Lepisosteus oculatus: one gene and its partners. The protein of the gene in region 3 purifies or fractionates together with the protein of the main gene of each other region. This does not show direct contact. Links are inferred from orthologs where the notes say so. Each region holds a gene or a part of one and is shown on either strand. Other genes may lie near its edges. The genes, in order: cyclin-dependent kinase 2-associated protein 1, smarcc2, chd3 and mta2.

Region 1 (7,113 bases), on a different chromosome or scaffold from region 3:
TATGTCCTGTGTGGATCGGTGCTCAGTGTTTGGACTAAAGTAGAGGGCGTTTTAGCGTCGGTCAGTGGAACCAATGTGAAAATGCAAATCGTTCGTTTAAGAACTGAGGATGGACAAAGAATCGTTGGTAAGTGATGATAAAGTTCCCTCATCCCCACCCCCATGCAAGTCATCAGGAGGCCCCTGTTTACAAGCTTTAGCCCAGTGCTGTTATTTCATTTTGTTTTTATTATCTGTAAGTAGCATACAGCTGTTTATTATAACTAAAAGTTCATATGTTTTGGGCTTATTTAAATTTGGTTCAGGGTTTGCCTACCTAATTAACAAATGTGATTAGTAGTTAGGGTACGATTGGGTAGTTTGCTTTAAGGAAATAATACTATTAGTCTCTTAAGCGTCGGTGCTTCCTTCTACTGTAAAACTATCCAAGACCAATAATTTTTTTAATGTTTGTCATTGACAGGTTTGATCATTCCAGCAAACTGCGTAGCCCCGCTGATAAACATCCTGTCCTCGTCAGACCAGTCTCAACAACTTGCTGTCCAGCAGCAACAAATGTGGCAACAGCTTCACCCACAGAGCATTAACGCCTTCAGTAACACATAGCACCCAGCGTGGACTGGACAGTGGACTTAATGTGTTACATTTAAGAACATGCTCTGTGAGCACATTGTGAGGCAGTCAGAAGGAAACATTCAGGGTTCTTGTCCAAAGAATTTTCTTTCATTAGAAGTTCACTGGAACATTCAACACCTCGCACTTCAGTTCAGAACTGAAGAGACCTCTGTGAATTTCTGGAGGAGAAATGTTGAAACAGATAAAATATTTCTTCCTCTTTTTTTCATAACGTTTCATGTGCTTTCTACTGGCTTCTGGTCATAATTACAGGTTTGTTCTGTATCTTCTGCAAGTGGAGTGCTTGAACTTTATGACATATTACAGTGCTCAGGGGTTAGTTAAAGAAAACAATCACTTTTTTTAACTCTGATATGCTGAGAATATATATTGAAATGCATGTCACCTCCCCCTCATGTTCCTTAATGTGTTGATGCATACATTGTACAAAGCATGGAATTGCAAGTTTACTACACTGCATACAAATGTTTCCTGTTCCTTTCATTTAGTGTACCTTATATTCATGCTTATGAAAATGGTTCTCAAGGTGTAAATTCCTTTTAAGACCATGTTCACCACAGGGTTCAACATGCTAAAATTGTGACCTTGCATGATTTTAAAAAAATATCATCCCTGTTTTCCCTTTGTGGTTCACTTTAGAATAAACATTTCTTTAATCATAGCTAATTTAAACAAAAACATTGGACTTGCAGAATGGCTAGTCATTGATCTTCAATAGTATGTTCATGAAGGTATATACTACCTTTTGTTCTTAAAATCCCCAAGATATCAGTCTGTAAACTGGAATGTCATTTACATTAAGGCCACTTCAACCTTGTCTGGTCTTGATTTATATTTTTTAATTTTCTATTTACACATTTTAATATTTGCTGTCTCTTGAAACAGATCTGATGCATTTAATTTCAGGACGGGACACAAGACTCTTTATAAAAGCTTTTCATTTGTGCTGTAAATGTTATAAGATCGAAAATGTTTCTCTTAAACTGGTATGGATATTTTGCTGTACAAATGTGTATAGTTACATATCTTAAATATGAATTGTTTGGCTTATAAGTAAAATTGATGTTTATAAGATATTGAAGGACAATGTCATTTCATGCTTGCACGAGTTGCACTACTGACAGATTTCATTGTATATTGAAATTAAATCTGTTTAAATTACATTGCTGCAAGATTAGGACATCTTGCATATGACCAATAAATCTAGAAAAACTTTGTGAGTTGTGGCTTGTGTCTAAGAGAATTATAGGAAAAAACTTTTTTGCTTCTTGAAAGTGTTTCAATTTGAAACATTCATTTTATACTTGGTTCTGTGCTTCAGATTAATTTTCCTCATGATGGTTTTCAATGGACATGACCAGAATGTTTTAGAGCAAGCTTGATTTTTTTTAAAGAACATTTTGTACCTCATACAAATGGCATGATTAGTCAAGTGTTTTTTAGAGCAATTTGCTGAATGAGGCAGGTTAGTTTTTTTTATTTTTGTTTCTACTCTTTATTTCTAAAAAGGTATAATGTTTTCTTCTGTACTTCAATGGAGGGCTCAGGTTCAGCAACTTCTGACTGCAAGCAAATGGGTTATTTTTAATTTGTCTGCTGAGAACTAAGAAAATAATCAAAGACTATAGGAAGATGAGATGCAGTTTGCTGCATGCTGATTACCTGATGAGATTAATCAATGAAAGCTACACATTCTTTTTCCAGGCTTGATTGTGATTGATTATGGAATCTGATTGTTTCTATTGCATAATGTATATGACCACATAAGGATTAAATTGTAATTATATTTTGTTGGAGAAGGATCTACAGCATATTGCTCAGGACTATTGGTTGGGGATCTCTTCCACTAGGAATCACCTCATGGAGTGTTTTTCAAGAGCCAAAAGCCAAACCTTCTTGGTTTGGGATTTCTGTTGCACAGAGATTTAAACACTTTTTGCTTTAGTCCTACTGCAAAATCCTGTTTTATGTAAAAAAGTAAATGGATCTACATTTGAGTTCAGTTATACTTTATGCAGTTTACACAAAAATAATAATCTTAAGGTCTATGTACCAAATAAATTTTATTTTTATCAAGTTTTAGATTCCTTGGTAAAACCTGGTATTTGCCTGATAATCCTAACTATAATGTGCTCTCATTGTTCCATACCAGGCCATTCCTAAAATTAACACTTGAATGTACATTATATTTGACTCTATAGTTGACTATTTCTCCTGTTGCTTCACACAGTCAATGGGTTATTTTCAGCTGATGGCCATCCTATTGTGCATGACAATAGCAAATCGTGGCCGTGTATAAACCAGGCTTGTGGACAGGCTCCGGCAGTTTGGGTGGTGAAGAGAGAATGCTTTTGTAAAAAATCTGGCCAGGAGGCTGTTTAATTTTGAAGATGAGCCCACAATCCCCCCATTCTCACACCCCCCAGTTAGGTGCGGAGCACGGAAAACGGTGGAACATGCGTCTCGACAATAGGCAGACAAAGTACAGTGCTAGGCATTCACGAACTCGCGCCATACGTCACTCCTGCTACCCATGGAAAAAATTAGCATTCACTTCGCTCATGTCGTGGGGTGCGAAACGTGGGCGGGGGAGGGGAGCGTGTTACACGATAGGAAGAGGTTAAGAATGGCACGCGTCCCCATTGTCAGACTTAGAAGTTCCTATGGCTGCCTCGTGCTTTTTAGATTTTTATATGCATCTTATATAAACTCATACATTGTATGAGCTAAGTAAACCGCTTATTTTCTAAACGTATTGGGTACGTTAAGCAAAATATGCGGGAAAATAGACCACCTTGTTGTTTTTAACTACCGCTTCCAGACAAACATTTAATCATTTTTGTCTGGAAAAGGAAATTATTGTAATTATCGCAACCCTTTCCTACCATGCATTCTCGATCTAGGTGGTAAAATATTACGACTAAAGTATTTACAGTATGTTCTCTAAATCTATGTGAGGCGGCGGGAACGCATTTTTCTTCCTTGCTTTAAAAGTAATTGCAATTATTAAAATATCAAAAAGTTATTGTTGCACGTTGATGAATAAAAAAAAAACACCTCGTCCCCTTAGTTTTTTAAATTAAAAATACATCTAAAAAAATACGATGGGGTTCTTCCTAAAACCTGTGATTGAATTTTTTTTTTAGAAAGTTTAAAACTTTAATTTGAAGTATAGCTGACGAAGATAACCCATCCGTTATCGTAAGAGTTGCTACGAGCCCGATTAAAGCAAAAATAAAAGTTTCAAAGTTTGACGTGGTCAGTAACCTGATAAAAAAAAAGCCAGGGTTCGGCAAATAATGTTTTTTAAAAAGCGTTGTTTTAAAATAGATTACGACCTCAAAAATATGAAATCTCTTTTCAAAACCGAATTTTAATCGCCGCGGCGTTTCCATATGAGTTTTGGGTCTGACCTCCTCGCTTTTGGTCAAATTGCCATAAATTTCCCATTGTGATGATAGATTGCATTGTGGGTGTCAATATAAAGTGACGGCCATATTTGCCGGTGCGGCTGCTGTAAACAAAAAGTGTCTGAGAGAGACAGAGACGCTTCAGTGAATTTCAGGACATTTTTATTTCTTTAATTTATAATGTCTCTGGGAATGTCTTACAAACCCAACCTCCACCCGCACATTCCTGGGACTTCCGTGAACCAAGGTAAGGCTGAAATATCCGCGAATTCTCCACTGAATCACTGTTTTATTAGATGCAAAATCCGCTGTTATAATGAATACCTGGGGAAAGCCCGTGTCTGTAGTTTTTGTCCAGTTATATATATAGGGTCAGATCCTGAGAGCTGATTCATATCCGCCATTATTACTAATCATAAAAGCTTTTTTTTTTCCGCATCCGCAAAGTAGAGAAACGGAGGTTAACTCTTCGCTGGGGACCGGGTTTGCGGTAGCCGATACCCGCTTTTGTTCGCACGGATGCTGGAAGAGTGTTATAAAAAATGTATCACTTTGGCTTCTTAAATCAGCCCGTTCGGTATCCTCCATGATTGTCTCCCCAGGGCCGATGATTGATCTGGATCAGGAATGTTCTTTTTTTACGCTCTGGGGACACCTAGCGTTCAAAATGGCTTACTGCACGGAAGGCTTACATGAATTGAATGCCTGTAGTGTAGGTGACCGAGAGAGACTCAATTGCCTAAAAAAAAATCACCTCTGAAATACGGAATACCAGCCGAAACGTTGTGTTTCATTTCTTCTCTTTTCAGCACGGAATAAACCTGACGCAGCTACCTACTCGCACCTCTGAAATGTGTTTTTCTAAATTCTAAATAATAATGATAAGTGTCCAAAATTCTCAGAAGCTACGCCAGTACGCACATACAATTGTTTCTGAATTGTATGTGCCACCAATTACCCCGCGGTGCGACGCAGCAAATATACAGAGGCTATCTCACTTTAAAATATAATTAAGAGATTACATATAATTTGAATTCTAATGAAGTCTTACGAGTAGCATTGACAATTGAAACTGTCACGATTTTGCCTTGCGAAATGTAACACAGTACAGTTTAGAGCGTTCACATCTGCAAGCAGCAGCGAATGTAAATCAAGTACAACACAACGTGCCCTGGCTGGAGTTGTTCTTCTGTGTTTCGGGGGGTGGGTCTGGGGTGTGTGGAGGAGCTTCAGAAATGAGAAACGATTCCTTTTGACCTCATTGTCCGTCTCTTTTCCTCCAGTCGGGAATGTCCACTCTCCTTCCACGAGCTTAGCCACACTGCAGTCTTACCGGCCACTGGTGAATGACTACGGGCTGCCATCCTTGGGATTTTCACAGGTAATTTTAGCTCGATCAAACCACCTGGTGGTTAGTCTAACTGAGGCGGAGGTCGTGCCAAGAGAGGCTGGTGAGCAATTCCGTTCGCTCTCCGTGGGCACAGATGTTGCCAGTCCCTTGCAGATGCCCTCTGTGTGGTCAGTGAATTGCCCTTTCTAAGAGGACTCAGCCCAGGAACTGTTCTCCTCTTGCAGGGGACCAGCGGAAATCAAGTGCCTCAAAGTAAATATGCAGAACTCCTAGCCATCATCGAAGAGCTGGGCAAAGAAATCAGACCGACGTATGCTGGGAGTAAAAGTGCCATGGAGAGACTAAAACGAGGTAATTAGTTTTGTTTAAGTGAGTCATTGAATCTATTATACCTTAATCAGCCAACTACATCACAGTGTACTTTGGCTCCGTTTTCAGCAGGTTTTAATCCCGATACAAAACAGCATTCATCTTCCGGGATGCATCTTACTGTGTAAATATAAACAGGTGATCTGTAGTCGCATGCAAACTTCTGACTACTGCAGCCACTACACAAAGTGGAGATGGAGAGAACCACCCAAGGCTCAAGTCCAATATTTTCCCAGGCTCTTAAAACATAAGAGTGGATACAAGCGAGGGGAGGCCGTTCAGAAGATGTTGCCTGTTTTGATAGTTAGTAGGTAATTGTTCCAGCTCATCCAGCTTGTTCCATACCCCCACCAACCTTTTTGTAAAGTTTAAAACTCATTTTCACTTAGTTTGCCCTTGTGTCCTCTGGTTCACGTTGCAGTTCTCCAGTTCTCTCTGAAAAAGTCTGCTGGGGTGGACTGTGGCAGTGTCCTCAAGCATTTCATATGCTTTCTTACGGGGTCCCCTAGTCGCCCTCTCTGTTCAAGGCTAGAGAGATTCAGTCCCTCGGCCTGTCGGTGGTGTACAGTATAGTGACATGATGGCAGGGGCCCTTGAGCGAGCGAGAATGATGACGTGTTGTTTTTCTTTCTTTTCCAAGGGATCATTCACGCTAGAGGACTGGTACGCGAGTGCTTGGCGGAAACGGAGAGAAACGCCAGGTCCTAACCACGGGAACAATGCTTTCACACAGAAACCCTGAACAGCATCTCGCAACCCTGCCTTCTAATCATTCTCTTTTCAGGAAAGCCAGATAGCTTTCCAGGAAAGCCAGATAGCTTTCCAAATAATAATAATAATAAAAAACTTTTGACGTCTGGCCTGAAGAATGCAGAAACGAAAGCTAAAAGACCAGTATATAAAACTATACTTGACATGAACCTCTTCAAGGGTTCTTTATTCTTTTTTTTTCCATAGGGGGATTTCTGATTCTTTCTTGACTGCTTATATATAAAAAAAAATAAAAAAAATAAATAAAAATCTGATGACTTTGCATGCATGGTAGCAAGTGCTCCCAATTAAAATTTAAAACTGCATGGCTTGTACAGATTTAGACTGTAGCAAGGGACATTTTAAGATGGAATAGGGCCTAAGATTCAATATTTTTAACACACTAATACTTAGGAGACTGAGAAAAGGATAGTGCCAAATACACCACACACCGGATTTGGATAAACTATTGTAATAAAGCCATTATTTGCATCTTTGTATGTATTTATTACTCAGTGTAATAAAACTTATTTTCATTAAGACCTGCTGTGTTGAGAGATTCATTTCTGTAGGGTACCATTGCACAACTGCAATTCT
Region 2 (7,729 bases), on a different chromosome or scaffold from region 3:
CCGAGGGGGATGGCTAAATGTGTTCGCCAGTCTCACTGCTTGTGGATAGAAGCTATTGAAGAATCTAGTGGTCAGTGTCCATATGCTCTTATATCTCTTGCCTGAGGGCAGTGGGGTGAAGAGCTCATGCCCGGGGTGGTGACTGTCCTCTGTGATGGCCAGAATTCTACCACGGCAGCGGTCCTCATAGAGCTGTTTAATCTCGGTGAGACCGCAGCCGATGATCTTCTGGGCCACATTGACCATTCTCTCCAGTGCCTCTCTCTCTCGAGAAAAGGTGTTGCCATACCACACGGTGATCCCGTTGGTGAGGATGCTCTCGATGGTGCAGCAGTAGAAGTTCACCAGCACATGTATTGGCATCCCCCACGACTGGCACCTCAAGAAATAAAGGCGTTGCTTCCTGATAGAGTCAGTGTTCACAGTCCAGGTTAGATCTTTAGAGATGTGAATTCCCAAAAACCTAAAGCTGGTGACTGTTTCCACTCCGTTCCATCAATACTGAGTGGGCTGTGAGTGTATGGCCTGTGTCTCCGAAAGTCCACTATAAGCTCTTTCGTTTTCTTTATGTTCAAGTCCAGGTTATTGCTATGACACCACCTAAGCAGCTGTACAACTTCATCCCTGTAAGTGGACTCGTCATCATCACTGATCAGTCCTATTATAGTGGTGTCATTGGCAAACTTAATGATGCGGTTGTTGCTGTGTCTTGCTGTGCAGTCGTGAGTAAATAGGGAGTACAACCTTGGACTCAGACAGCAGCCTTGTGGGGTTCCAGTGCTCAGGGTGAGTGGTGATGTTTTATAGCCTATCCGCACCACCTGTGGTCTCTCGATAAAAAAGTCCAGCAGCCAGTTGCAGACAGAGTTGCACAGACCTAATCCCCTGAGCTTTGTCACCAGTTGACTGGGTATGATGGAATTGAATGCTTAACTGTAATCCACAAACAGCATTCTCACACACGAGTTCTTAATGTCCAGGTGTTCCAAGGCTGTATGCAGAGCCAGGGAGACAGCATCATCCACTGATCTGTTGTTTTGGTAGGCAAACTGCAAGGGGTCCAGGGACTCCTTGCAGTGTGACAACACCAGCTTCTCCAGGCATTTCATCACCACAGATGTTAATGCTACTGGGCGGTAATCATTCAGGCATGTCACTTTTGCCTTTTTGGGGGTTGGAACAATAGTGTTTTTTTTAAAGCAGGTGGGGACCATGGACTGTGACAGGGAGGAGTTAAAGATGTCCGTAAACACTGTGGTCAGCTGGGCTGCACATGTCCTCAGGACGCGAGGTGGTATCCCATCAGGCCCTGCAGCCTTATGGATTTTCACCCTGCTCAGAGTCTTCTGCACGTCCTGCTCTGAGAGTTTCAGAACAAACTTGCCCTGCACACTTGGGGTCTTCTCAGCATTGCCCATGTTCAGAGCATCAAAGCGGGCATAGAAATGGTTCAGCTCGTCAGGCAGGGATGCGTTGTTCGTGTCAATCTCCTGGCTGCAGCCCTTGTAGCCTGTGATTGACTGTAATCCCTGCCACAGCCTCCGGGTGTCAGCGCACTGCGTTTCAGCCACAGGCACAGACCCTTAGCCACAGAGCCACCATTCCACCCCAATCCCCCCTGCACCCCCATGTCGTGGCCAAATTTCCCCCTGTCCTTTACCAATCATGGCCTCCTAATAATCCCCATCTCTGAACTGGCTCCATCACTCTGTTCTCCCCCCCCACTGAGAGCTGGTGTGTGATGAGCATACTGGCGCACTATGGCTGCTGTCTCATCATCCAGGTGGGGCTGCACACTGGTGTTGGTGGAGGGGAGTCCCCATTACCTGTACAGCTTTTTGAATGGAGTGTCCACAAAAACACTATATAACTATTGATTACTTATTTTTATTTGTATGTATATTTTTATTTGTATATATATATGGCCAGCAGCCATATCACCCTGCAACTCACAACTGGCAGCCCACTGAAGCTCAGCAGGTGTGAGCCTGGTCAGTACCTGGATGGAGACCTCCTGGGAAAAACTAAGGTTGCTGCTGGAAGAGGTGTTAGTGGGGCCAGCAGGGGGCGCTCACCCTGCAGTCTATGTGGGTCCTAATGCCCCAGTATAGTGACGGGGACACTATACTGTAAACAGGCGCCGTCCTTCGGATGAGACGTAAAACCAAGGTCCTGACTCTCTGTGGTCATTAAAAATCCCAGGGCGCTTCTCGAAAAGAGTAGGGGTGTAACCCCGGTGTCCTGGCCAAATTTCCAATTGGCCCTTACTAATCATGGCCTCCTAATAATCCCCCTCTATAAATTGGCTTAATTACTCTGCTCTCCTCCCCACTGATAGTTGATGTGTGGTGAGCGTTCTGGCGCACTATGGCTGCACACTGGTGGTGGTGGAGGGGATCCCCATTACCTGTAAAGTGCTTTGAGTGGAGTGTCTAGAAAAGCGCTATATAAGTGTAAGCAATTATTATTATCTCTGAAGAAGAGAAGTGAACAAGACCTGTTACAAAGAAGAGCCCCTCAGCCCCTCTGGCCCGTTAGGCAGTGAGTAGCCAATTGATCTGAGGAAGTCATCATCCAGCTGCTTCCTGAAAGAAGCCGGGAAATTAGGGTCAACAACATGGCTGGACAGCTTGTTCCATACGCTCTACACAAAGGGTTGTGGGAGTGTGGAACAAGCTACCCAGCCATGTGGTTGAAGCTGATTCCCTGGGTTCTTTCAAGAAACAGCCGGATGAGATCCTCATATCAATGAGCTAATAATTGCCACACGGACCAGGTGCGTGGATGTCCTCCCATTTGGAATTGGTCACATTCCACTAAAGACACTACCAAGGTCTGGGCATAAACCCCTCATCTGTAATCTGTGCTTTCTATTAGTAAACCAGTTCCAAATCCAGACACACATTTCCCTGAAAGCCTGATGCCCTAATCTGGAAATTAATATTTAATGATGGAACTTAATCGAAAGCCTTCTGAAAGTCTAAATACACTCTTTCCTAAGCTCTGTGCGTATCCAGTTCTGCTGTTGCTTGATCAGAGAACTGTAACAACTTAGTCACGCAAGGCCTCCCTGGTCTAAGTCCTGTTGTCTATTCCCATGGGTATTATTACCACATACTGCAGGCGAACCTTTACTTTGGGTCTGTTACCTTCTTCTATATCTTGTAGGTAATAGAGGTCAGACTTATCGGTCCATATTTACCTACAGGGTTCAGTCACCCTTCTTAAAGAGGGGTGCTATATTGGCAGCTCTCCAGTGCCTGGGTGCGACCCCTCCCTTGAGTGAGCGTCCGAAGAGTTGTGTCAGCGGCTTCTGAACCACATTTCTCATTTCCTTCAGTGAAATCGGTACAATACCACTGAGTCATGGGGATTTATTCATCTTTCGTCATTCTAGTACTAAAAAACACTTCTGCCTCTTCTGGACAAAGACACCCATCCGCTTTCTACCCACTTCATGAGGCAGGGTACACCCTGGACGGGACGCCAGTCCATCACAGACATACACACTCACAGCAGGGCCAGCCATGACACAAGCCACCAGCATGGCTTTGGACTGCGGGAGGAAACTGGAGCAGCTGGAGGAAACCTACAGGAACACGAAGGAAACATGCAGACTCCACACAGACAGCACCCCAGGTCTGGAATTCGACCCTGGACCCCAGTGCCAGTGGGCAGCAATGCTGACCAGTGCCCCAGCGTGTCACCCTGTGCTGACAGAACTGAATACAACTGTGTGCTTCCTCACTGTGTTACTGAGGCAGGCTTCCTCCTTTAGGAGCCCATCGGTGCAGCAGATGTCGATAGATGTTCTGTCTAGATGATTCGGGTCCCATAACAGCTTACGGCACAAGTTTTGGGCAGAGCAGTGGCTCTGTGGCTAAGCATCTGCGCCTGTTGCTGGTTCAAATCCTGCAGCTGGCAGAGAAATCCTACTCCGTTGGGCCCCTGAGCAAGCCCCTTAACCCCAGCTGTTCCAGGGGTGCTGTGTAAATGGCTGACCCTGCGCTCTGACCCCCAGCTTCTCTCCCTGTCTGTGTGTCTCAGGGAGAGCAAGCTGGGGTCTGTGAAAAGACAAATTCCTAATGCAAGAAACTGTACATGCCCAATAAAGTGATCTGACCTTATCTTGGCACATCAGCTATTTCCCTGGTGCTGTCTATTGTCCATTATTGTCCCTGATAACATATTACTTCATCCTTAATAGTTCTGTTACTGCTCTTCTGCATTCAAGGGGGACTATTGTATTTTTCACTGTTGTGTACCCACAGTCAATCATGTTCAGTCAATTATTTAAATGAAGACTGTCCTTTTCTGACCTTAAAACTGCACGTCTGTCACACACTCACTTACACATGGCAAAAAAAATAAATATTTAGTGCTAAAAAGCTCGTCTTTCCTCCTCGTTCTGTTTATGACACCAGCAATCATTTTTTTTTTGCCTATGATAAAATCCTCTATGACGAATTAATAAAGACGGTATTTCACGAGGAGAGACGATTTATGTGAGAAACTGCGCGGCAGGATGCGCCATGTTGGATCTAACTCCTTCCTTTTTCACTGTGGGGGTCTGGCCGCGGTACCGGAGCCAAGATGGCGCCAGTTTCGCCTCGACCTCCTCTCCCTGGACGCGGCTGGCCGCAAACCCGCAGCGCCGCCGAGCAGCCGCCAGGTGGCGCCCGATCCCCCTCCCCCTGTTCTGTCTACAGGCGACCCAGCAAAGATGGCGGTGCGGAAGAAAGACGGCGGCCCGAATGTTAAATATTTCGAGGCGTCCGATACGGTTTCGCAGTTCGACAATGTCCGCATTTGGTTGGGCAAGAATTACAAAAAGGTACCTCTTCATTTTCCCCCCTTTTTCAATGCCATGTCTGGGTGTTTTTTGAAAAAGAGCTCCGGAGACCAGGGGGCTGGGTGAGGCGGGGGGAATTCTTGAATCCGGCTGAGCGATTCAGCCGAGACACAATGAGAGCCGCCCAGAAAACAAAAGAGACCCCGATGTTATTCTCCCCGTCATCCCGGCTGCAGGGGTGCGACCCCTCGGGCTGCCGGTTCGGGCGCGCGGAACGAATCGCAGTGCACAGCAGGGGGCAACCTGTCGCGTTTGAGCCGCGGCGTGTGTTTAGTGTGTTTGCGTGCGTGTCATTCCTTGATTTTGTCTGTTTTCGCAATTTAACTGGCAGGCGGAGATTCTCGCCAGCTGTTAACATCTGGCAGCCCCTGGCGTGTAGCCAGCGGTACTGCACGGCGGCGGGGGGAGCCGTGCGTGTTCTGAGATAACGGCTCTGACAGCCGTGGCCTCCTCCCCTCGCCCCGTCAACACTGCGGGGTCGTGTGGTGCGGGAGTTTCGCGTTTCGATGTTGCGCGACAAAACCTCAGCGCTGTCACAGACAGACACACACACGCGCGCGCGCGCGCGCGCCCCCTCCCACGCGAACAGCGCCCAGCCCCACTCAGCCCCCGGCTCGGAGCGCGAGGCTGCCGAGCGGCCAGATGTGCTGTCCTATCGCAGCGCGTGTGTGCTGCGTGAAGTGATTCACGCGCGGCGCAAAGTGGAGAAACGCACGAGAGGTCAGTGCTGTACTCTACTATACAGTGCAACCTCCTGCACACTGACTGACTGATATTGAAGATTGATCCTGGATGTGCTGTAGTGTTCAGTCAGTGTCTCTGTACTGTAACTGTACTGTGTAGTAATGTGCTAAACTACAGTGTCCGTTAACATACTAGAGTATTTTTGAAGTATTCCATTGTATGACACTTTAGGGTGATGTACTGTATAGTGCTGCGTATTGCTTTACGCAGTCAGTGTGTCTGTATTAACCCCTCTCTCTCAGTGCAGTGTTAATGTACTGTAGTGTCCAGTCAGTCAGTGTGTCTGTATTAACCCCTCTCTCTCAGTGCAGTGTTAGTGTACTGTAGTGTCCAGTCAGTGTGTCTGTATTAACCCCTCTCTCTCAGTGCAGTGTTAGTGTACTGTAGTGTCCAGTCAGTATGTCTTGATTAACCCCTCTCTCTCAGTGCAGTGTTAATGTACTGGAGTGTCCAGTCAGTGTGTCTGTATTAACCCCTCTCTCTCAGTGCAGTGTTAGTGTACTGTAGTGTCCAGTCAGTATGTCTGTATTAACCCCTCTCTCTCAGTGCAGTGTTAGTGTACTGTAGTGTCCAGTCAGTGTGTCTGTATTAACCCCTCTCTCTCAGTGCAGTGTTAGTGTACTGTAGTGTCCAGTCAGTCAGTGTGTCTGTATTAACCCCTCTCTCTCAGTGCAGTGTTAATGTACTGTAGTGTCCAGTCAGTGTGTCTGTATTAACCCCTCTCTCTCAGTGCAGTGTTAATGTACTGTAGTGTCCAGTCAGTCAGTGTGTCTGTATTAACCCCTCTCTCTCAGTGCAGTGTTAGTGTACTGTAGTGTCCAGTCAGTGTGTCTGTATTAACCCCTCTCTCTCAGTGCAGCGTTAATGTACTGTAGTGTCCAGTCAGTATGTCTTGATTAACTCCTCTCTCAGTGTAATAATAATATAATAATAAACTTTATTTTATATAGCGCCTTTAAAGGTGGCTTCTCAAAGCGCTTTACAGGATGACAATAACAATAAATAAGAAGACTACAACAATAAATACTGTTAGTGTACTGCAGTGTCCAGTCAGTGTGTCTGTATTAACCCCTCTCTCTCAGTGCAGTGTTAATGTACTGTAGTGTCCAGTCAGTATGTCTGTATTAACCCCTCTCTCTCAGTGCAGTGTTAATGTACTGTAGTGTCCAGTCAGTATGTCTGTATTAACCCCTCTCTCTCAGTGCAGTGTTAATGTACTGTAGTGTCCAGTCAGTATGTCTGTATTAACCCCTCTCTCTCAGTGCAGTGTTAATGTACTGTAGTGTCCAGTCAGTGTGTCTGTATTAACCCCTCTCTCTCAGTGCAGTGTTAATGTACTGTAGTGTCCAGTCAGTATGTCTTGATTAACCCCTCTCTCTCAGTGCAGTGTTAATGTACTGGAGTGTCCAGTCAGTCAGTGTGTCTGTATTAACCCCTCTCTCTCAGTGCAGTGTTAGTGTACTGTAGTGTCCAGTCAGTGTGTCTGTATTAACCCCTCTCTCTCAGTGCAGTGTTAGTGTACTGTAGTGTCCAGTCAGTCAGTGTGTCTGTATTAACCCCTCTCTCTCAGTGCAGTGTTAATGTACTGTAGTGTCCAGTCAGTGTGTCTGTATTAACCCCTCTCTCTCAGTGCAGTGTTAATGTACTGTAGTGTCCAGTCAGTGTGTCTGTATTAACCCCTCTCTCTCAGTGCAGTGTTAGTGTACTGTAGTGTCCAGTCAGTGTGTCTGTATTAACCCCTCTCTCTCAGTGCAGCGTTAATGTACTGTAGTGTCCAGTCAGTATGTCTTGATTAACTCCTCTCTCAGTGTAATAATAATATAATAATAAACTTTATTTTATATAGCGCCTTTAAAGGTGGCTTCTCAAAGCGCTTTACAGGATGACAATAACAATAAATAAGAAGACTACAACAATAAATACTGTTAGTGTACTGCAGTGTCCAGTCAGTGTGTCTGTATTAACCCCTCTCTCTCAGTGCAGTGTTAATGTACTGTAGTGTCCAGTCAGTATGTCTGTATTAACCCCTCTCTCTCAGTGCAGTGTTAATGTACTGTAGTGTCCAGTCAGTATGTCTGTATTAACCCCTCTCTCTCAGTGCAGTGTTAATGTACTGTAGTGTCCAGTCAGTAT
Region 3 (7,117 bases):
CCAGCTCTCAGTGGGGCAGAGAACAGAGTGAAAAAGCCACTTCATAGATGGAGATTATTAGGAGGCCATGATTGGTAAAGGCCAATGGGAAATTTGGCCAGGACACCAGGGTTACATCTCTACTCTTTTCAAGAAATGCCCTGGGATTTTTAATGACCACAGAGAGTCAGGACCTCGGTTTTATGGCTCATCCGAAGGACGATGCCTTTTTTACAGTATAGTGTCCCCGTCACTATACTGGGGCATTAGGAGCCACATAGACCGCAGGGTGAGTGACACCTGCTGGCCCCACTAACACCTCTTCCAGCAGCAACCTTCCTCAGCAACCTGCTGAGCTTCAGTGGGTTGCCAGTTATGAGTTGCAGGGTGATATGGCTGCTGGCTGAACTCAATATGTTTGTACTTATTTTGTAGTAGGGCAGATCTTTGCTGTTTGCAAAGATCACTGCTTCTCTCAACAGTGGAACCTGCATTCCTGTCTCACCGCGCAGGTGGCTCAACGGGAGGAGGAAAGTGCGCTGTCCACACCCTCCCCATACGGGATCCCAGTAGACTAACAGACGGGAATTCCTGATTCAGAGGGATTAAGAAATAAAGGAAACTGTAAAAAGAGTGATTGCAAATTATAAAAAAAAGAAACAAGCAACAGATTGTTCTCTGAGGTCCTCATAAAATGGCCAGACTGTGCCCATTGCTGATGTTTGCTAGGGCCTCACTGGGTCAGTGTCTTGTTTTCAGCACAGCACTTCTGTGTCTCCACTGCAGTGAAGTAAGTTGGCCTGTAGATGTCAGTGTGGGACTGTACTTTGCAGCATTTTCACAGCCTAAAGATAGTCCGTGGTTAAAGTCTTTAATCTCTAGTGAATGAGACTTCGCCATTTACCAGTTCATAGGCCTTGTCCCAGAGGGGAGCCCCTTTGAAACCCTTCTATTCCAGCTGAGCTCATCAGAAATTTTAGTTTAGCTGTCAAAAATCTTGGAAGGATTAGTAAGAGCTATCAGCCTTCAACCAGCTTCTGGGTTTCACACCCCTCTTCATTCAGATGAACAGAACGTCAGTAACTGGGCCTCTTCAGGGTACATAGTTGATTTTTTTGTGTCTGTTAGATAAGTGTCATTCCCACCTGTCTGTGAACACCTGTAAACACCTCATGTGTTAAGTTCTACATTAAGGCTGACACACAGGATCATACATACTGTGAACAATAGTGGCATAGTATTACATTACTATGTGCAGGTGCTACCTGATCTTCTGTAATGGGAGCTGAAGGACTGCAGTGCTGGTGCTAACCATGCAGGACAGTACTCAGAGCTCTGGACTGATAAATGGAATAGGTTCATTTCCCGGCTGGAGCAATGGTTTTGAACCCATGGGCAGGTTTCAGTAAAACACCCAGCAGCATAAATGGTTGCATGTAAGTCTCTATGGATAAACGAGCAAGCCAAATAAATTTATAATAACCATTTATGGGTTGCTAGGCAGAGAGAAACACAATAGCACCTGCTTCTAGGTCCAGGTCTTAGGCACTGTTTCACTGTCTCCTTACTCCTCTGTTTGTAAAGCAACCTTGTCACCTACAGATCCGGACCCACGTCGACCCCCTGTCAGGCTGCAAGAAGTACTACACCCCCAGTGGGCGTTTCGTCCACGTGCCTCCACCTTGGCCCTGCACCGACTGGGCCAACGACTTCGGCTGCCCCTGGTGGAGAGACGGCTGCTACGAGGTGGGGGTCCTGTCAGCCAAGACCCGCCACGTGCGCATCATCAACACGCTGACTTCCCAGGAGCAGATGCTGGAGGTGAGCCGCGCACTGCTGCCTGGCAAGGCGTTCCTGCAATATTTAAAAAAAGGGGCATTTCTCATGATTTTGACAGTACGGTTTTCACCTATTTATTTCCTAGAATACCTCCAAATGTAATATTTAAAAAAAAATAAAAAGAGGACAAAAAAACAGTGACATTTCTAGTGTCGTACAGAGAGTGTATTTCTAGTCTCGGAGCTGTAAAGTGTTCATATCACAGGTTGTATAGCAAAACTATTCCATTTTCTCTTTAAAAAAAGCAAGCTCTTGGATATATGCTGGATATTTTGGGCTTGTTCCCGCATTTTGCATTAATTTACGTGTACTGTTGCCTGGGGATAAAAACATTAAAGCTATTTGTCGATTTGCTTATTCAGAATACTTAGTAAAATATGAAATGGGTCAAACTGCCGTGCAACGGGAGTCTTAATTTGCATCGCGGTTGTTTTTCATGGTTTTTTTTGTGTAACCCCAGTGAGTATTCTTGGGAGGCCCCTTTGTGCTCGAACCTGTGATTCAGGTGACGGCACAGATCTCGGTGTCCCGACTGTCTCCCTCGCCTGTCGTCCCAGGTGTGTTCCGAGGAGACAATGTCGGAAATCCTGCAGCGCTACCTGAAGTACAACTCCCATGCTGCCAGTTACACCTGGAAATACGGCGGCGTCAACCTGGACATGGGCAAGACGCTGTCGGAGAACGGGATCGCCGACGAGGATCAGGAGTTCTATGAGCTCCGCATGGACCGGGACCTTTTCACACAGTCCATCTGTCTCTATTTCAACGACGATCTCACCGAACTGTGAGCTCCGCTCCACTGCACGTCCACACCCCTTCCACTGTCCTGTTAGTCCTCTCTGCTTCGCCAAGAAACTGCTTCAGTTTTGAGCTCTGGTCTCACGACCCTGGGAGCCACCCAGCTCTACCGGCCCCATCTCTGTGATCTCTCTCCAGTCTGAGACATGTATTGACCAGCTGCTGCTGATCCCCCTCTGCCTCTGTCCCTGCCTCTTTCTCTCTTCTCCCACCTCTCCCTCTCCAGATCCCTCTGTCCCTTCCCCTTGCTCTCTCTCTCCGTCTCTCGCTCTCCCTCCCCCTTTATTCACAGCTGGATGATCGCAGCTCATGACCTGTTCTCAAGGGTTGCTTTTCGGTGATAATAAAATGCGCTGCTTGTTATTTTGAGACATGTCTAGATATTTTGGACCTCTTTTTTTGCTTCCCGTGACACAGCTTGCTTTGGATTAACCACTGGGTGTTCAGTCTCACCTCTCGTGGAGGTGAACTCCCACAGGCTCCTCACTGCTCAGCAGGACACGGGCTGCAGCAGTCTGAGCTGTACTTGTGTGTATCTGAAACGTTTGTCCAAAGTTTATAGCTTTTTTTAAATGAGGTATTAGTGTGTTCACTGTTTAAGTTGTATTATTATTAATTTCCCCTATTCCTTCATCCAGCTTACATTTGATACCATAATTGTGTAAAATATATTGGTGTAGTTCATTAACACAGCTATATATTTACAGGAGTCCAGGCATTCTTTAATAAAAACAAAATATGTAACTAGTTATTATAATTCCCTCAATGGCTATTTCTTCAGTTGTTTTAAGTATTTCATTTCCTCTTAGGCGCCTTCTGTATTTAATGGTTACAGACACCACCTCCTTCATCCTGTGCTCGTCTCAATCACATCAATAAATCGGCCACCCATGTCTACGTGTCGTGTTGAGCAGCATCCCAAAGCGCTTTTACAACAAGTCGAACTGCAGAATAATTGTAGTTAAAAGTCCGGCGGAGGCATCACGCGTAATAAAATAAGGCAATTTCGTCGTTTTCTGCTCGCCGCACGTTTGATTAAAATATATATACGCGTTAATTACCCCTGTGTATGTTAAAAACAAATACGTCCTCTATAACCTAAAGGTTTTCACAGTTTCACGACTATCATTATTATTAATACTAACAACCTACAAACGTCTAGGAATTTAGTCATCGGATATTTTACATCTCGGTGCTTGATTTGAACAAAAAAAGTGGCTTCACTTTTCATACGCTGCAAGTATATTTCTGTTCTGCATTTGAAGATAACTCTGAACTTCGGTTTTAAGCCTGTAAATCGCGCTAAATTGGCTTTGGGTGTTTTTTGTTCTTTTCGGCGCAGAAATGTAGAAGTTGCATTTTAATATAGCGAGCTGATGTAAGCACGAATAACCCCCCCTCTCTCTCTCTCTCTCCCCAGCCTCCAGCTCCCTCTTCCTAAATCATTTTATTTCGGGGTGGGGGCCTTTAAAGATATGAAGGGAGCCATATTTGTTAGATTTCGCATCGCTTTCTGCAGTGCGGGGAGTGAGGGTTATAAGAATGCTCTCGAAACAAAGGACAGTAACCAGCGCTAATACACATGAAAAAAACAACGCGATAATGTGATTTACGTGCAACGAATACACCCTTTATTTGACAATGTGTGTATGTTTTTTTTTCAGAATGGAGGGAGGGGAGAGTGGAGAGAGAGAGAGCGAGTGAGAGGAGGGGGGGCGTTTTGAAATAATATAGTCAGCCATTTTTTATGTAAGGGGATTTTTTTTTCTTATTGGGGGGGTTGTTAAAAAATAAATATAAGGGCGGCCATCTTTGTTTCTCTGCCTTGTGTGTAAAATATTCCAAAACGCCCCCCATTTTTTTTGGCCGATTTGAATATTAAATAAATTTCATAATTCCGGGAGAAGACCTTTTTTATTTCCTATACACTGGGCCGGCAACAGGAAAAATGTCCTCTCCTCTTCGAGGCTGTGAGGAAGATGAGGGCATGGCGGTTAACTCCGAGGGTGGAGATTTCGATGAAGAAGAAGACGGGGAAGACGGAGCGCTGGACGAGAACACAAGCGACATATATTCGCCGGCGGCGCCTAGAGAAACTGCAGCAGTAGCCGCGCCAGGTACAGTACGGGCTGCCTAGACACGGGAGCGCGCATAGGAACAACCTTAAACAATCATAAGAATAATAATCGGAATGCAAATAAATCCCATTTTAATACTGTTCATTACCTGTTCCACACCGTGATGAGATAGCACTGAAACTGCTTTAGGAAGTCTAAAGAGTTAAAGCGCAACTTTAACCAAAGTACTGTGCCGAATCGACGAAGCTTGAAGCTTTTTTTAAAAAAAAAGATTCTTTCGCATAGCTACCTAGTTTTGAGAGCCCCCCACAACACACACACCACCACACTACAACCCCGTAGAAGACGCACACTTTCCATTTCCCTGTCTCCCCGTGTAATACATATGTACATATCTTATCAATGAAGTACGTATGAATATCTTATCATTGTTGTCGCGATTGACACCCGCTGTGGCGCCGTGACCTACACGTCTGTACCTTCCTATTTTGTTGTTTTTGTTGGTAAATGTAGAAAAAAAATGTTTTATTTTGGAGGGAGGAGGATTCTGGAGTGACCGGATTCATGAAAGAGGGTGTTGGTGCGTGTGTGCCGAGTGTGAGAGTCACTGACACGCCGCTGACCCTCCCCGCTGTCTGTAACTGTTGCGGGTGAGAGCGTACACAAACCACACTGCGAGATAGTGTTTTTCCTTCCAGTGCTGTCTGTGTGGGGGATCTCCCAAGCGACCCCCAATTATACAGATCAGATGGTTTCTTTCTCTACAGGAGAGAGAGAAACCCGAGAACAGCGATGCATAAACACATAAAAGACCTGTCTGCTTCACCCCCCGAACCTTCGAGATGTTTAAAGTTCATAAAATGAGAAACAGCCCCATATTTCTTAAAATCTGCAGTTATATTGCTATTAATGTCGGTGTCGATTGAATGAATACATTCGGAAGTAACCAAAACTATGAAATGAGTTAATTTCGCATATTTAATGTATTGAAAATACCTAGATGTATATAGGCTATACGTACGTTTAATATGACCTTTATATATTGTAATATTAAATTAAATTATTAAAAACAGTAAATAGTACATACAGTTAAAAAAACAGTGAATTCAAATCTTTATTTATATACACAAGTGATATTCAATTTCGATAACGCTGGGGTGGGTTCTGCCACTAAAAAACAAGTTATATGAATATAAATAACTTGTAAAAATGTAGTTTCACAAGCATATTTGTGTACCAGGATCTTTAGATGTAGGCTTTTTTTAAAAAAGAGTATTTGATAACGTTACCTCAAGAAAAAACAGTAGAAAACAACCAGAAACCTTTTGCATTCGGCAGACAGAAACAGGGAGACAACTACCGTGTCATTAGGGCGAGGTTCGCCTACCATCTTTCAAATATTGCCCCCCAATAGAAAAAGAGAACAGGTTTGGCGAGACACAGTCCGTGTCCCCCGATAACCCCTGCATCCTGACCCAGCTGTAACTTTGTGTCTGGCTGGCCGCAGGTGGCGGATATAAACTGTGGCGTCTCATCGCCTAGTTACACCAACTGAGCGCGGCGGGCCGCTGAAAGCCTGCGGGTTTGAGTAGACACCCAACCCCTCTGGCTCCGCTCTGTACTTCGGCGTGAGAGAAGTGTCTACCCCTCCCCCCCTAGTCGCGAGCTCCATTGCGTCGCCTGCGGCCAGTAAATTTCAGCAGCCTCCGAAAGCCTTGTAAACACGACAGAGATTGGCACATCACGTACACGATGGAAAAACGTGGCTGTAAAACAAAAGGGGGGAAAATACGAATTAACAGGCAAAAGACGAAACACGATTGGCGCCCTTCTGTAGCGCGGTAAAAACTACAGTCGTGTCAACGCTGAGAAAAAAAAGACCCAGGAGAGTTTTTGTGAGTATGGGAGAACACCCACTAAAGGAATTTGTTTATTATTCATTGTTCAAACACTTCAGAAAAAAATGCTGCTCTTAAAATAGTTGAGGTGTTTCGAGTTTCAACTCGGTGAATTTATCCTCCGTTCATTTCAGTTAAACGTAGGTAAGCGGAGCTAAAATGAAAGACCGGTTCGTTGGTTGAGCTTAACTGTAATGCTTTTTGTGTGAAGCCGGAAACTGATTTAATTTATTCTTTTGGTTTTTTTTTAGTTTTATGTTTCCGTGTTGTACGAATGGCATGTTTTTTACTTCTCTCAATCCGCAGGACCGGGATGTTTGTGGGACTAAGTTTTGACATAATATTTTAAGATCCTGGAATTTTAGCTCGCCTCTTAAACAGGCACCAACAACAATACGTCTTAATTATGCTTCTCACATAACTGTTTTTTGTCGCTTAAATGAAAGTTTTTTTTTAATGGTGTTAAGTTTTTGTTAAGTTTAAATTAAGTTTGTCTTCGGCATACAAATTGAAAATGCCCTAAAT
Region 4 (8,006 bases), on a different chromosome or scaffold from region 3:
CACACTGACCCCTCCTGGACCAGGACTGGACACCCCTGCTGCAGTCACACTGACCCCTACTGGACCAGGACTGGACAGCCCTGCTGCAGGCACACTGACCCCTTCAGGACCGGGACTGGACAGCCCTGCTGCAGACACACTGACCCCTCCTGGACCAGGACTGGACAGCCCTGCTGCAGACACACTGACCCCTCCTGGACCAGGACTGGACACCCCTGCCATTATCTAACCCCAAAAACTGGTCTTTACCGCTCAGTGTGGGCAACCACCCCCCTTCACAACGCACACTAGAACGAGAGGGTATAAGGACCTCCAGATCTAGGAGAGGAAAAAGCTCCTGAAAACCACCAAGACGGGCTGATGACCACACAGGCCAGCGGCACAGCGAGCCTGTTCCAGCAGCGGGGGCTGGACCCAGAAGCCGGACCCTGCAGACCCTCAGGGCGCGGAGAGATGGGGGCGCAGCGCTGAGGTCGCTGGAGCAGAGATACGGGGCCACCAGGGCCGCAGGGGAGGGCTGTCCTGAGTCACTGGGGCTCTGGTGTGGCCCGGGGCCAGGAGCAGAGGGTGAGAGTGTGCGCACGAGAGCAAGGGGGCGTGCAAGTAGGTGTGCACAAGAGCACGCACCACCAGGGCAGGGAGCAGAGGGTGAAAGAGTGTGCAAAAGGGCAAGGAGGCTTGAGCGAGTGTGCACAAGGGCAAGGAGCAGAGGGTGAAAGAGTGTGCACGAGGACAAGGAGGCTTGCACGAGAGCGCACACCAGGGCAAGGAGCAGAGGGTGAGAGGGTGTGCACGAGGACAAGGTGGCTCGAGCGAGTGTGCACAGGGGGCTCGCACGAGAGCGCGCACGAGGGCAAGGAGGGTGCAAGGAGGTGTGCACAAGAGCTCGCACCAGGGCACACGAAGGGAAGGAGGCATGAGAGAGCCTGCAGGGGCATTAGTAGGGTGGGCAGCAGGGAGACAGGCCGAGACCTTTCTGAAGCCCACCGCCACCGCCGCAGGGGGGGGGGGGGGGGCCTGAACCCCAGGCGTCTCGCTCACTCCTGAAAAACTTCCACCTTAAAATCGACTGGGTCGCTTCGAGACCCCCCCACCCCGGCAGGCCAGGAGACAGGAGACAAGGCAGGCTCACGTGTGTCTCTACACCGTGATACTTTGCCCCCGGGGGTGGGACGAAAAGGTCGGGGGGGGGGCAGACAGTTGTTGGCACGTCCAGCAGCGAGCCCCCCGCGCTGTGGCGGGGTGGATGTCTGTCCCACGGGCGCCCTGGCTGTGTGTTATTGGCGTCACAGTCCACGCACGGGGAAAGAGGGGGCGGGAGGGCAGCTCCTCAACAGCAGGGCTTCAAGATATAAAGAATAAAGCCCCCCCACCCCCTCCCCTCAAGGCCTCGTGCCTGCACAGCGGCCCCCCGAAACCCCCTCCTCGCTACCGGCCGCGCGACGGCTTCCGACACGGTGGTTCCGCCTTCGCGATAAAATCCGCCCCCCCCTCCTCCTCCTCCTCCTCCCGTGCGACAGCCACAGACACGCAGGCCGCGCGGACTCCGCCGGGGCTCCCGTTCAGCTGGTTTCCACGCCAGCTGCGTGGCGTGTGCGCGCCACGCGTGCTCCTTTTGTGTTTGTTTGGTTCTGCGCGACCATACCGGTTACCCTCCACTCGAACCGTGTGTGTGTGTGTGAGAGTGTGTGTGTGTGACCTACATGTCGCCTTTTCAGACGCGACCAGAGCAGATCGCCTCTCCGCACCGCCGAGCCCTCGGTAACGTCCACACACACGCTCGCTCGCTCACGAACCCCGTGGCGTGGGCAACCTGCGTCCTGCGTGGAGTTCCGCGAACAAGTCCCCGAAATAGTTTGTATTTATTTATTTTTTTTAAACTGAACAAATTCAAGTCGTCGTCGTCCTCCCTCCCACCTCGCACGGTTCAATCACCCCCCCCCCAAAAAAAAGACACCGGCGGTTCCGGGACCTTAAACCGGTTGTGTTAGATTTTTTTTTACTTCCCAAAATTCAGCCTCTCCGGACAGGAAGATACGAACCGTCTCGGCGTCGGCCGGGTGTTTTTTTTTTTCCCCTTTCTCTTCGCACAAGAAGAAAGGAAACAGTTTGCGGTTTTAATTTAAAACGACCCCGCCACCCCCCTCACTCACACAAACACAAACTGAATAAAAATCCTTCGCCAAACTTCCTCCGGAGATCACCGGGGGGATAGAGAGAGGGGTGCTCGGGGCCTAGGGCTTCGACGGCAGAACAGAGACCCGGTTCGATGTCACCGGAGCACCGGGATGGATCGGTGCCTCTTCTCCCCGAACCGAGGATGACGATGATGATGATGATTCAATTCTCGCTGGCTGGAGCGACACGCACGGAAATAAAAAAATATGCAACCCCCCCACCACCTCCTTCACCATCACCTCCTCTCTGCATCCTAACCCCCCCACCTCGGGACAGGAGCGACCCGAACTCGGAACCCGACTGGCGAACTCACCCCCGACTCTGTACATGTTGGCCGCCATTCTCCGGTCGCCGTCTTGAACAGACACCCGGCCGAGGGAAACCCGTCGGCTGCGGCCGAAACAATTCTCCCTTCTTCTTCTTCTTCTTCTTCTTGAAATAGGAATTTAAAAAATAAAACCACACACACAAAACGAAAGAAGGGAGGCAAAATCCGTCTCCCGGCGCCGATCCGATCCGATCCGATCCCGGTTCCCCCTCGGAGGCGGGCCGCCCTTCGCCTAGAAACAAAAGGCGAGGGATCACCCGCGCCGCCACTCGCGAAGTTACAACTTTCCGTTACAGTGTTGTCCAGGTTTAGCCCCCTTCTTTTTTCTCTCTCTCTCTTTCTTTTTGGGTGGAAGAAAACCCGTGTCGCCGCCCGCCGCCCCACGGCTGTTCCTGTCCGGCAGGGGAGAGTCCACCAGCGCCCTCTCCTCCGCAGTCACTCGCTCACAGTCCCGACACACAGCCACCCCGTCTCTCTCTCTTCCTCCCACCCTCCGCTCCCAGCCTCATCCTCCTCTTCCTCACCTCTCTTCTCACACACACACGCCACATCCCCTCCTCCCTCTCTCTCTCTCCCTCCTCGCCGGCTCACGTCATCTTCAGGGGTGGACCATCTCGCCGCCCGGGCCGGACTCGCCTCGGCCGCGCTCGGGTATCTCCGGCGGGTTTCGTCTCGGCTGGGGATCCCGTCTCGTCTCGCCGAACTACCCGCACCAGGGCGACACCGAGCGACAGGCCAAAGCAATGGACAATGAAACGCACCCCCCCGGGTGTTAACACATACCCCTCCCCCCCCTTTGAATAATCGCAGAAGTTGCTCGCACTGTATTTGTGCATCGATACGTCTGATCTACGCAGCCCCCCCTCGAGGGACGGGAGGGGGCACAGCACGCCCTGGATTCGAACCCGCAACGTCCAGGAACCCTTCCCGAAGATGCCGTGCGAGAAATGCTCCCGTCGCTCTGTAATTATCCTACCGGGGACACCAACGCTTATTGAACTTTTCTGTGTGTGTGAGGAGGAGGAGGGGGGGAGTTTTTTGCGACACGTGTTTACCGCTTTTGACAGCCACAGCCCGGGGTCATGCGAGGCGAGGGCGTCGTGTGTTTTAAGGCTGGCTGCGGTGGTTTGCATCGCCCCCCCTGCAGCAGTCCAAGCCCGGGGGGAGGGGGTCATTAAGAGACAAGGTCGCCGTGCACGCAGCCGGGCGCTGGGACGTCCCGAGGCCGGTCTCTCGGCTCCGCTGCGCCCCACAGCCGGCGGTGGGCACGGACGCGGAAGTCCCGCCCCGCTCGGCGGCTCCAATTCGACCCGTCGTGCGGGACCGGATCTGGCCCCGCCGCCGCCGCGCTCGGCACCGCAAAGGCCGCACGGGCGGAAAAAGTTCCGTTTCAGCGCGTTTTCAACCCACCAGTTGTTATCGGGGGGGGGGCGGTGAGGCGTTCGACACTGAAAGGCTAACCAGGAAGACGCCAGAGGAAACTGAGTGGAAGAGTGGTTCAGACTGAGAGCGGGCGGGAAGGGAGGGAGGGAGAGAGAGAGACACACACACACACTTTACACATAGGGTGGTGGGAGTGTGGAACAAGCTGCCCGGCCGCGGTGCTGAAGCCGATACCCTGGCTTCTTTCAAGGCACAGCTGGCTGAGATCCTACAAGCAGGACAGGAGGCACCGCTCTACGCCAAGGGTGGCGGGAGCGTGGAGCTATTTTCCCCAGCCACGTTGTTGAGGCTGATAACCTCGACGTCACTCAAGACGCAGCTGGGTGAGACGCTCCAGTCTGGGCGCAGGAGGCCCGCCTTTACACAGAGGGTGGTGGGGGTGGGGGACAAGCTGCCCAGCCGTGGTGTTGAAGGCGATACCCTGGCTGCTATGTATCGTATCCATCTTCTCTCTCAGCATGCTGTAACAGTGCTGCGCCGACATCTTGCTTGGTCTTCGTCTTTGTCATGTTGGGGTGCTGTGTAAAACAAACTTCCCCAGTGGGCAATAAAGCTTGAATCGAAACTTTCGAGAAATGGATTGACCCTGGGATCGATTAACTTCTAAGTAAGTGGGTAGGGCTGCACACTGGTGGTGGTGGAGGGGATCCCCAAAACCTGTAAAGTGCTTTGAGTGGAGTGTCCAGAAAAGCGCTATATAAGTGTAAGCAATTATTATTATTATTATTAAGTTATGACCTTCTGGTTGGGAGACCTCTCTGAAGTTATTCATCCTTTGGAACAGCTGTTTTAGACGCAGGGGGGTCTCAAGACTGGTCTCCCCGAGACCCCCTGTCTTTTCCGACTCCTGCTCCAGTCTGGGCCGTGATGTGCCAGTGTTGTCTTCCAGCTCGGAAAAGACGAAAGGGAACTGCAAACGGGTATCAGCTCGTTGTGGGGTTGTCTCGCAGAGTTTCACTCCCGGTTGTGTTTGTGCGCCACCCGTGGGCAGTGTTAGTACGTGCCGTGTCTTAAAACCAATAACTAAAACTAAAATAAGGCCGCAAACTCTTAGCTCGTTGGAATCGGAGCCATGCAGCTGAATTGCAGGTCGTTGCTGCCCTCTGCTGGCAACACGTGGTACTGCGCAGGAGGGAACACAATTGACCGAAAGCCTTCAATTAAACCTACAGTCTCAGAAAAAATATTCTATTTTCTTTTTTAACTATAAACAGCCACAGTGCCGGAGGAGCCGGAACGTCGCTTGAGTGAAGCCGGCGACGAGCTGTTTCAAGCCTTCGATACACGAGCTAGACGGACACACCGGACCTCCAGTGGGGTCAGAATTCAGCCCCCCCCCTCCCCGATTGAGACACCCAGCTGCAGGGCAGGGGACCCCCATCACGGCCCTCAAGGGCCACAGTCCACAGTCAGGGTAAGTGGGTCTCTTCGAATCTCCCGTTTCTCAGAGACTAGGAAAAAGACCCCACCTGTCTGATTCAGCCCGTAACGAGTTCAATGAAGTCATGGAGGGGTAGGAGGACAGCCCACACCCTCCTGTCTCCCCATGAGCGACGCTGTGCCCCCCTACTCTAGGATGGGGGGGGGTTCTAGGTCTCTTTCTGTGTTCAGCACCTACAGCAGCAGGGATCCTATTTAAATCTGTACTGTACATGTTGTATGCATGTCCCACCTGTGTTCTGTGCTGTACCGAAAGCAAATTCAACCAGCTACAGTTGTGTGGCAAGAAAGAATAATCTAATCTAATCTAGGAGCCCCCTGCTGGTGGTCCCAGTCCAGTCTCACAGCCGGGAGACCCCCCACCAGACCAGCCCGCTGTCGCACCCCAATGACCTCCACCCTGCTTGGTTCCGAGATTTCTTTGTTTATTCCAGGAGGGGGGGGGGAGGAGAAGCCAAGAATCACATTTTCTGGAGTGTAGGTTTTGCAACAAAAACAAAACAAAAAAATCAAAAATCAAAACAGACATAAGACATAAGCATCTCTATAAAACAATCTCTGTACAGAATGAGAAAAACGACGTTTGGTCCGAAATCGTGGGCCTGGGTTTGGTGGTCCCTCTGCAGCCCGAGGCGCAAACCCGAGGAGGAGGAGGAGGAAGAGAGAGGCTGCTGAAAGGAGAGGAAGGTCCCGGTCCGCTGGCTTGTTCTGTTTGGAGCTGCCCTGACTCACAGGATCTCTCATGGGTTTTTCTGGCCTAGAGAATCTGGGTGCAAGGCGGAGTACACTCTGGACGGGACGCCAGTCCATCACAGGACACACACACACTGACACACCAGGGCCAGTCCATCACAGGACACACACACACACTCACTCACCCTGGACGGGACGCCAGTCCATCACAGGACACACACACACTCACTCACCCTGGACGGGACACCAGTCCATCACAGGACACACATACTGACACACACACTCACTCACCCTGGACGGGACGCCAGTCCATCACAGGACACCCACACACTGACACACACACTCACACACCAGGGCCAGTTCTCCCACCAGCCCGCGCCTCAGCCGTCAGCGGTCTCTCTCGGGGCCCCTCTGCTCTAGGGACCGGGCTCCTGGGAGCTGACGGAGTTGGAGGACACCGAGGAGCTGCGGTCCAGCGGGGCGCCCCCGCCCCCGCCCCCCGTCACCCTCCACTGCAGGATGCAGGTGTCCTTCCCACCCATGGAGATGAGGTGGCTGTCGTTGTGGGTGAAGCGCACGTTGGTCACATGGCTGCCGTGGCCCTCATACCGGTGGCTGGGGGCCTGTGGGGGGGGGGGGGACAGAAAAGGGGTTAGGGGAGACGCCCCCCCAGCAGGGTCTGCAGCTTTCCGAGCGGATCTCGGTGGGACTTGGGGGGGGGGGTTTGGGGACGAGGCTGGCCGAGCGACACAGGGCTTGGCATCGTAGGGACCGCCCCCCGCCCCCCGCCCCCGCTGGGCGCCGGAAAACGAGGCCCCTGATGCGTCGGGGGGGACGGAGCCGCTCGGAGCGGGATTCCCACAGGCCCAGTGCCGGCAGTCCCCCCCGAGGGGCCGGCTCGCTCGCTTGCGCTCTCGGCCAGCAGGGGGCGCTGTGGAGGGTGGGGTCAGGTGACCTCCGCCAGCCCTCCAGGGTCAGGGGTCGCAGGTCAGGACCCAGGGTCAGGTTACACAGCTACAGCCCGAAAAACTGAGGTTAAGCAATCAGAGGTTGCAGTCTGAGGGGGTATACCCTCATGTGGCTTTGTGATCTCTAAGGACTTCGCTTGTCCTTCGACAAAATCACGTTTCTGGTGAGGGAGGGACATCTGTTGACCCCGGTGGGTGCTGTACTGAAGACAATGTCAGGGTGTTACAGGCCGCCTGTGGGGGTGGGTCCGCACACTGACCTTGGGCTTGGGACAGGGGTACTGGAACAGATGGACCTTGCAGAAGTCATCGGCCACTGCCACTGCCCTCTCGCTGTGAGAGCGGCACAGCGCGTTAATGTCCGTGCCATCTGAGCCCTCCAGCCACACTCCTGAGACAGGAGGGAGAGGAGGGAGAGACAGCAGGGATTAAGACAGGAGAGTGAGAAGGGAAAGACAGACACGTTTAATTAATCCTTTATTCCTTCAGTCATTTTCTCATGTCCAAGGAGCTCACGCCACTGTGGTGCAGAAGGCAGAGCAGTCGATAAAGAGTGAACAGATGAAGGGAGCAGGACAGGACAGTGTTGACAAGTGCAGGAGCAGAAGACACAGTAGCCAAGCACAGACAGGAGCAATCGATAAAGGACAAACAGAGCAGGACAGGACAGTGTTAACAAGTGCAGGTGCAGAAGACACAGCACCCAAGAGCAGACAGGAGCAATCGATAAAGGACAAACGGAGCAGGACAGGACAGTGTTAACAAGTGCAGGTGCAGAAGACACAGCACCCAAGAGCAGACAGGAGCAATCGATAAAGGACAAACGGCGCAAGACTGCGTTAACCAGGGCGGAGAGAGACGGAGAGGAGAGAAAGGGGCTGCACGGTTGTGCGAGTGTGTGGGGCTCCGGGGGGGCGATGCTCACCCATGACGTGGAACCCCAGAACGCAGGTGTA

The links.
Region 1: the proteins of chd3 (region 3) and cyclin-dependent kinase 2-associated protein 1 purify together in Homo sapiens (affinity purification with mass spectrometry; 6 studies listed by BioGRID and IntAct, with this or other methods). This does not show direct contact. The link is inferred for Lepisosteus oculatus from reciprocal best matches to the Homo sapiens genes CHD3 and CDK2AP1.
Region 2: the proteins of chd3 (region 3) and smarcc2 fractionate together in Homo sapiens (co-fractionation; 3 studies listed by BioGRID, with this or other methods). This does not show direct contact. The link is inferred for Lepisosteus oculatus from reciprocal best matches to the Homo sapiens genes CHD3 and SMARCC2.
Region 4: the proteins of chd3 (region 3) and mta2 purify together in Homo sapiens (affinity purification with mass spectrometry; 8 studies listed by BioGRID and IntAct, with this or other methods). This does not show direct contact. The link is inferred for Lepisosteus oculatus from reciprocal best matches to the Homo sapiens genes CHD3 and MTA2.

What each region holds. Positions count from the first base shown.
Region 1 is NC_090717.1:7,570,809-7,577,921, reverse strand, and holds cyclin-dependent kinase 2-associated protein 1, read left to right. Parts: upstream 1-4,108; 5' UTR 4,109-4,226; coding exon 4,227-4,293; intron 4,294-5,329; coding exon 5,330-5,427; intron 5,428-5,621; coding exon 5,622-5,748; intron 5,749-6,406; coding exon 6,407-6,474; 3' UTR 6,475-7,056; downstream 7,057-7,113. Other genes in the region: sbno1 (protein strawberry notch homolog 1), read left to right, coding at 1-127, 464-606. UniProt on the Homo sapiens protein: Inhibitor of cyclin-dependent kinase CDK2. Also acts as a component of the histone deacetylase NuRD complex which participates in the remodeling of chromatin.
Region 2 is NC_090696.1:19,695,994-19,703,722, reverse strand, and holds the start of smarcc2 (SWI/SNF complex subunit SMARCC2), read left to right. Parts: upstream 1-4,712; 5' UTR 4,713-4,723; coding exon 4,724-4,834; intron 4,835-7,729. UniProt on the Homo sapiens protein: Involved in transcriptional activation and repression of select genes by chromatin remodeling (alteration of DNA-nucleosome topology).
Region 3 is NC_090698.1:7,522,160-7,529,276, forward strand, and holds the start of chd3 (chromodomain-helicase-DNA-binding protein 3), read left to right. Parts: upstream 1-4,105; 5' UTR 4,106-4,564; coding exon 4,565-4,733; intron 4,734-7,117. Other genes in the region: cyb5d1 (cytochrome b5 domain-containing protein 1), read left to right, coding at 1,582-1,800, 2,376-2,606.
Region 4 is NC_090713.1:21,714,978-21,722,983, reverse strand, and holds the start of mta2 (metastasis-associated protein MTA2), read right to left. Parts: upstream 3,011-8,006; 5' UTR 2,520-3,010; coding exon 2,492-2,519; intron 1-2,491. Other genes in the region: eml3 (echinoderm microtubule-associated protein-like 3), read right to left, coding at 6,499-6,705, 7,311-7,441, 7,976-8,006. UniProt on the Homo sapiens protein: May function as a transcriptional coregulator. Acts as a component of the histone deacetylase NuRD complex which participates in the remodeling of chromatin.